Linked DNA regions of Saccharomyces cerevisiae S288C. The gene in region 1 interacts genetically with each later gene. Each region holds a gene or a part of one and is shown on either strand. Other genes may lie near its edges.

Region 1 (4,320 bases):
TGGGATGACTTTTTCAATGATCTCGGACTTTAGTTGCGCTCTTAAGTCCTCGGTCGTGATTTCGTCAGCATGTTGAGCGGAGACGACGACGGTGTCGATTCTTTGTGGAACCCATCTACCGTGGTCATCCTTGTATTCGACGGTGACTTGAGTCTTGGTGTCTGGTCTCAACCACGCTAAAGAGCCATCTCTTCTCGCGTCAGCCATGGCCATGTTTAGTTTATGAGCCAAAAGAATAGTCAAAGGCAAACCCTCTGGAGTTTCATCTGTGGCGTAACCAAACATGATACCTTGGTCACCGGCACCGATGTCTTCCAAATCCTTCTCCTCGTGGACACCTTGGGCGATATCTGGAGATTGTTGCTCAATGGCGACAAGGACGTTACAGGTCTTATAGTCGAAACCCTTGGCGGAATCATCGTAACCAATCTTCTTGATGGTGTCTCTGACGATTTTTTGGTAATCCAACTGTGCCTTGGTAGTAATTTCACCAAAGACCATAATCATACCAGTCTTTGCCGCGGTTTCACACGCAACTTTGGAGTGAGGGTCCTCGGCTAAACAAGCGTCCAAGATGGCGTCGGAAACTTGGTCACAGATCTTATCTGGGTGACCTTCACCAACGGATTCAGAAGTGAATAAAAATGTACCGGCCATATTTTCGTTTATCTTATTTTTTCTTGTTTTTAGGGTAAATTCCTGGTTTTTACTCTATTTTTTTTTCGAAGCTAACCGAAAAACAACGATGAATAACAGACAACACCAGTCGATATATACGTCCCAAACCAATCCCATTAAGTACTAAACGGAAAACTTTTTACTCTTCCCTTTTTCATCGATACCAGAGTGAAAAACTACGATGAGGCTAAAATTTCCTCGAGACAAGAACCCGAAAAAAGAAATGCACTAGTAGGCAAGGGCGCCACCACAGTTTTCCTGTGAAAAAAAAAAAAGAAAGTATTCGTGTGTAGTGATATATAACTTTATCTTCAAATTCTATTTCCGTCTTACGTCCGTTTCGGTACCTTTTTTTCAAAAGATCTTGCCTGACATTTTTTTGAACAATATAAAAGTGCCAAGCGTGCTCATTATTGGAAGTGCGCACCAGGTGAGGAATTGAATGTTGCCATCAATTGTTTGAGTAAACACTGCCCATCTGCCACTTTCGGTACCCATCCGAGTACTTAGTAATAGAAATATATATTATGTCTAGTGCCATCGTTGCTAAACTGAACAAAGAGGACATCATTAAGGACACCGTCAAGGACTTGGCGTTCGAGATTCTTGGTGAGTTGTCGGTTTCGTACGTTGATTCTGACGACATCAAATTGGGCAATCCCATGCCAATGGAAGCTACGCAAGCCGCTCCTACCATCAAGTTCACGCCCTTCGATAAAAGCCAATTGTCAGCCGAGGATAAACTCGCTTTGTTGATGACTGACCCGGACGCGCCCTCTAGAACAGAACATAAGTGGTCGGAGGTTTGTCACTACATCATCACTGATATTCCTGTCGAGTACGGACCTGGGGGAGATATTGCCATTTCGGGGAAGGGTGTCGTGAGAAATAACTATATTGGGCCTGGTCCACCAAAGAACTCCGGTTATCACAGATACGTGTTCTTCCTGTGCAAGCAACCCAAGGGAGCGGATTCGTCCACTTTTACCAAGGTTGAGAACATTATCTCCTGGGGGTACGGTACTCCTGGTGCGGGTGCCTATGACTATATCAAGGAGAACAATCTGCAACTGGTCGGTGCCAATTATTACATGGTCGAAAACACGACCGTTGATTTCAACTATGACATGTAAGGTGCAGCAACCGGCTCGTATAGATACGGATAAGATAGAGTATATTGTGCAAACGCGTATATGAAATAGTGAATATATACATGCCGAACGGTTCCGTTTTTTTTTTTTTTGGCTCGTTGATTTTTCCTATCCCTTTGAACTTTTCTATCTTTTAAGGGATAGAGGGGCTGTTCAGGGAAGGAAAGATCTCAATTGGTATATAAAAAGGGGGCAGCAAGAAACGAATTGCAGTGCTCCTTTTCCCTACCAGTGCATCAATACAAGAACAAGAGAACAAGCAAAAAACATGAACCAAGCAATAGACTTCGCACAAGCAAGCATTGACTCCTACAAGAAGCACGGCATTCTGGAGGATGTAATTCATGACACAAGCTTTCAACCCTCCGGGATACTTGCCGTAGAGTACTCATCAAGTGCACCTGTTGCCATGGGTAACACGCTGCCCACTGAGAAGGCACGTTCCAAGCCCCAATTCCAGTTCACGTTCAATAAGCAAATGCAAAAAAGCGTACCACAGGCGAATGCGTACGTTCCCCAAGACGACGATTTGTTCACACTGGTAATGACCGATCCGGATGCTCCCTCTAAGACAGATCACAAGTGGTCTGAATTCTGCCACTTGGTAGAATGCGACTTAAAGCTGTTGAATGAGGCTACTCACGAGACCTCCGGAGCAACCGAATTTTTTGCATCAGAGTTCAATACGAAGGGCTCGAACACACTAATAGAATATATGGGACCAGCTCCACCCAAGGGATCCGGTCCCCACAGATATGTTTTCTTGTTATATAAGCAGCCTAAGGGCGTGGACTCATCTAAGTTCTCGAAAATTAAGGATAGACCGAACTGGGGTTACGGCACCCCTGCCACCGGTGTTGGCAAATGGGCTAAGGAAAACAACCTGCAACTAGTTGCCTCCAATTTCTTCTATGCGGAAACGAAATAGGTATATATATATATATATGTATATGTATTTATTTTTTAGATTTCAGTGCTTTTCACTTGACTTTTTATTATTTTTGTTTTATTTATGTTTTTGTCACAAACGCGCACATGTTTGTAGGGAGTAATGTCATTGTCAAACAAAACACATAAGAAAAACATGGTGAGATTATTAAAAAAGTGTATAAGTTTATAAAATGTTTATAATGATTATATAAGTTTGGGTTAGCCGAACAAAACCTTCACCAATTCCATATAAACACCGATCTGGAAGTCGTCCAGTTTCAAGCGATTCAGTTCAGGGGCCACGACAATTCCAGTGTTGTCCATGGAATAGTGGGACATCATATCCTGATACATCTCCCACTCAAACTTGTTTGAATCATAAAATTTGGAATCTATCGATAAATTGTTCGGTATAGCACAAAGCCAAATTCTTGTTTTGTAAAACTTAAAGAGTTCTTTGATCAGGTCTCTGAAATCATTACGCTCCTGGCAAATGTAGTAGAAAGTCAATTTCTTTCTGTCGAATTGGAACTCTGCATTCAATATTTTGATGTTCAACCCGCCACCGGAGTTATTGTTATTTAGCGACCTCAGTTTTAGCTGTGCAATGTGAAGAGCCTTTAGCTCATCCTGGAATTTGTTGTGTAAATTCGTGGAGGATTCCCACGGGGTGGCAAATCTCAGAACCTGCTTTGATGGGATGATCAATTGCGTTAGTTCAATGATATCATATAACTTCGGATTCAACTCATGAGCGACCGGCTTACCATTGGTTGTATCAACCAGAGTCTTGATAAACTGGTCATTGGGGAAATGCTGTTGACTATTGGTGATTAGAGAATCAAAGTGAATTTTTTTCTTCAAAAAATTTATAAATAGTGCCAAATTTATATCTACAACCGGTTCCACCACCAAAACTAAATCTTTACCACGATCACCATCAATAATGACCAAATCGCCCCTTTTCAGTATAAGTGTGGCCGTTTGTGGTTTAGACAACAGTTCGAGCTTACCATTTTTCAACGATACTAACACTAATGGCTTATAGTGCAAATGCATTGAAGTGCTGTTCTTGGATTTGGCCGCCCCGGTCGACGAAGCGTTTGAAACAGCAGTGGAGATGAATGCGTCAGACTGTGGGTTGTAATTCAGATTACAATTTTTCAAAAAATCCAAAAACTCTATAATCCTGGAACTGGAGGCGGAGACATTATCCCCGCGTAAAGTTCCCTTTATGCTGTCAATAAATTTATAAACTTTATCACTAGCAAAATAGTTTGACCCGCAGTCAAGATATAAGTCATGCAGCTCCTTGGATGACGTCAAATTCTTGCCGTCGACAACCGCCAATCCGGCATCGTTTGTGGGAGCGGCTGCCGGATGCAAGTTCAGCACTGGCTGGGTGTTGCGCCTAGCATTGAAGGGTGACGAGTACTGTTGCTGCTGAGTATACTCGGAAGGAGCAGTGTATGGTACTTGCAAAGATGGGTTGTTGTTAATATATACAGGTTGCGAGTATTGTGGTTGCTGGGTAGCCGCATTGCCATGAATCAGCGCATCA
Region 2 (4,057 bases), on another chromosome or scaffold:
AGTCACGTGCGAATTGGCATGTTGCAGAGATTTAGATGGCTATATTTCCTCAAGTTAGCGCATTTGGCTTACTTGATCAGGCGCTTACGAGCTACATTTACGCCTGTCTGTATAATTTTGTTTCTTGACGATGGGATTCTCATAAGAAAGTCCAGAGTTGTTCGCAAGGTTAGACACTTTTAGCAGCTAGTGCGTGGTACTTGTAGAATTGCGAACCGGGCATTACAAAACAAGCCCTTTTTTAGCGCTGTCAAGAGCAGAAACTGTAAGTATGCCAGAGTTAGTTGCCGCCCCAATGCTCTTTTCCTGGGCCAATTCGAGAAGTTGAACAGCTTTGGATATTACTGATAAAGAGATGTTTGCCTTGGGGGGCTACTACGGTAATAAGCGTCTTGTCGCTAATGACATGCCAGCAATCACTAAGATTGTTTCGCTCTCAGAAGAACCAGAGGTGGAACTACTGGTTTGAATGACGGATGATTTAGATGATTCAGAGAATGTAGAAGTGGAGGTCGTTGCAGAAGAAGAAATGACCGAGGAAGACATGACTGAGGAAGAAACTACAGAAGTTCCATTGCTGCGATAGAATGGAGTAATAATTGGATGCTAAGACGTGATAGAGCTGGTGATTTGTTCTGAAGAAGATGATGACAAACTGGATGAGGTGGCAGTGGTTGGAGCTTTGGCAACAATAACGGTTTCGTCAGTTGGTTGACCATTAGTACCGGTGACGGTGGTCATTTCAGTAGATGTAGAAGTAAAAGTACCAGTCCACAGTTCGGTAGTAGTTGTGACGATGCTAGTAGTATGTTTTGAAGGATCAGGGATAGTACAATTTGACTGACTTAAATCATCGTCAAAAGAGTAAACGTACCCTTCAAAGTCATCACTAACAGTAGTACCATCAGGCAATTCCACGCTAATTGGAAGCGTGCCCCAGGAAACGGCATTGGAGTAAACAACCTTCAGCGGATAATAGTAGCCTGCATACATGTAGACAGTCCCTCCGATGTTATCAGGCAAACTTCCTTGCCATGGCTTAATACCATTGATTGTAAAATCCGTCGATGTAATTGGAGGTTGTTCTTGTGCACAACATTCGAACGCAACGTTACCACCGACTGATAGAATTGCAGAGTCATCGACCTTAGCAAACCTGAACGTGTAAGAACTTGTTTGTGGTGGTAAAAAGTAACCTGTCATTTCTAGAGTAGCGTTTTTTGGGATAGTAAGAAACCAAGTAAATCAGTACTCCAATAGGTCTTTCTTGGCTATTTTGAACATTCACTATGACCTCTGCATCCCCAGTTTCCATAAGCATCTGATTGAGCACATTTAAAAGTTCCTGAAGAGATAACACAAGAAAGATCGTAGTCAATTGAGAAATCCGTCTGTCCGCCAACGGAACCTAATTCCAATTCGAGGCATATCCAGAAGTCATATATTGCGGGTAGGAATACGTTGTTGAATCCAGTAATGAGTATTTATAAAAGTTGACATTCATCCCATTTTTCCTCGGGCCCACTGGCAGGCATGCTTGTGTACTTCCTGAAACAACATTGGACGTGGCCAGGTAGGTGAAGAGTGCCAAAAATAAATAGTGATAAGGCATTTCTTGGTTCGTCAATCAGGTATGGGTATATTAAACAATAACTTTTAGCCATGCTGTTAATGATGAAAATTTTGATGCTGGTCTCTTCATATGTCATTGTTTTGGGAACTGTCTTTTTTCGATCAGATGTATGCGCTACGATTTGTTTAGCGTAGTGATGTTCCTGCGCTGTATTTAGGAAATTTTGGTATCGAAACGTCCCTACAACACTTTTTGTCGCTGATATCTGCACATGCGAGTAACGCCGATTCCATTACATTATTACCTTCCACTTCCCAGAAACGATTTATTACGACTCAACAAGTTCAAGAAAAAAATTAAAAAGGTTACAACCACATTTTGCGTTTAGGTGCAGCGAGGCTTACCTTGATGCAGTCCTAAAGAGTCCTGCAGCAGTTGTAACGAATCCTATTTGCTTTTATGCATTCCTAAACGGGCTGAAGTATAAGTCTTGAGGAACTCCGGGAGAAGATACGATAAGCTCTGAAGTGCCAAATTTTATTATCAAAAAAAATATTTGTACAAGCGGAAAAGGAGTATACTCTTCCTCTTTTGCTTCATCACAAGAGGATCATTTTGACGTTGTCTGTTGTACTACTTCTTTATCGGCGTGCGCAGGAAAAGAAAGAAAAAGGAAGGAAAAAGAGATGTCAAAAACCGATGTCAAAAAATCTCGTGAGGCCTCCGGAATTTTGACGCTGCAAGTCAATCTACGGGAAAGAAGAAATTTTTTAAACTTAATGCAAAATAAGCTTTTTTCTTGGAAAATAAGATTTTCGGCAATAAAAGGTAAATGCAGCCAAAAATCAAAATACTTCAGAAGAAGTCGTAGCGAGGACTGCTACGTGGAAGCGGATTTGAAGATCCTTTCCAGAACAAGAAGGAGCCGAAAGCTGCCAGGAACTGTTCCTGATTTTTTAGGAAAACAATTAATAGGTATCTCGTCTAGCGTAGTATCTCGAGTTTCCAGAAGTTGCAGATAATCAAAATCATTGTTTTATCGCTTTTTTTAAATTACAGCTTAGAAGAGTAGAGAGCAAGTTTACTGAAACGGTTCCTTGTTTACAATAATATTCCTAACAAACTTCACGAATTAGGATGCAGCATGATTTTTTATCTTGCTTCACTTCCTAAAGTATGAATTTTTATCCGTAGTCGCAACCAAAACAGCTACTGGAAATTTGCAGCTTGTTAAAAACCGGTAGTTTCCGAATACTCCTCGTCCTTGAGTTGTATACCGTTAAACTTCCTAGGGTATCATGTGTCTGGCCCAAAATTGACCCACAAAATCTGGTCCTATTGACGGTCTTCTTTTGATTTTCAGCATCCTACTCTAAGAAGGACAGAAAATTATGAAATATATGGGAGAAACGGCCTCCCAACTGCTAAGTGTTCCCGGCAGCACGAGTAAGCAAAATTCAGGCAACCTATTGCATTAAGAAGCCCTACATAATTCAGCGTGATATGATGGAGTTTTGTTAATTGCAAATTTTAGTACGATTTGGTTGTTAGTGTGTGTTTATGCAAGTAATTATTGAACCCTAAGTAGTTACTGTCTTCTTTTGCTGTAATTCGTGGATTCATGGCCCTCCAGCAACATGGATTGAAAGGTTCTTTAAAGTTTTTAATCCGTAAAGTTCTGAAATGTATTTTAATCATGTCAATAATTCAACTGGTGGGTAGCATTTATGACCAAAAGCGTACTTAAATTAGCAGCAAAAAAATTTTTAATAACGAAACTATAAGGAAAAAAAAATACGAGGTACTGATTATGAGAGTTCCAGTTTCTCATTTTTGAGACATGATCTGAACAAGGCTGAAAACAGCAATCTTTTTCAATAACTTTTGCAAAAATTTCAAACATTGTTGTTTGAATGCAGCTAATTTTTATAGAGTACAGAGCTCAATGCTTTACATGTGCTTTATTTCCGGTACTTTTCTTAAAATGTCTACATTTTCTCTCAGGACTTGAATGTCTTCGGCTGCATTACTATAAAATCTTGAGTTCCTAAGACGATAGTGGTGAGTGATGTAGTTCGCGTGTGTGCCACTGGTAATAATAGAGATAACTATCTCAGTTAAGTTTGAAAAGGTAAAGAATAGTCATTTTTTGCGACAGTCATTCTTCTCTGATGCACGTTCTTTAGACTACCTATAAACACCATTCTTACGGAATTATAATGGAAATAACACATCATTACGTGTTTCTGTCGGTGATAGAGGGGTAATAGAACCTTAATTGAAAAATTAGCACAGTGCATAATTTATTAACATGATTGTTATCTGTGGAAAATAAGAAATTCAGCACCAGTAAAAAACGAGGAATATAGGCACATAAATGTGCTCTTACTCGTATGTTCCAGGATGAAAATGTTTAGGGCATCAAGTATTGCCGAAAGGGCAATATGCTTTAGCACCAGAAAATCCACTGTATACTCATTACGG

What was found. Genes that interact genetically often act in the same process or in processes that back each other up.
Region 2: mutations in TFS1 (region 1) and YHR212W-A together harm fitness less than expected from each alone (positive genetic interaction), as found in Saccharomyces cerevisiae (one large-scale study listed by BioGRID).

Annotation. Positions count from the first base shown.
Region 1 is NC_001144.5:511,599-515,918, reverse strand, and holds TFS1 (Tfs1p), read left to right. Parts: upstream 1-2,097; coding exon 2,098-2,757; downstream 2,758-4,320. Other genes in the region: methionine adenosyltransferase SAM1, read right to left, coding at 1-657; YLR179C (uncharacterized protein), read left to right, coding at 1,206-1,811; YLR177W (uncharacterized protein), read right to left, coding at 2,979-4,320. UniProt on the Saccharomyces cerevisiae protein: Specific and potent inhibitor of carboxypeptidase Y.
Region 2 is NC_001140.6:536,297-540,353, reverse strand, and holds YHR212W-A (uncharacterized protein), read right to left. Parts: upstream 1,613-4,057; coding exon 1,409-1,612; downstream 1-1,408. Other genes in the region: YHR213W (uncharacterized protein), read right to left, coding at 607-1,203.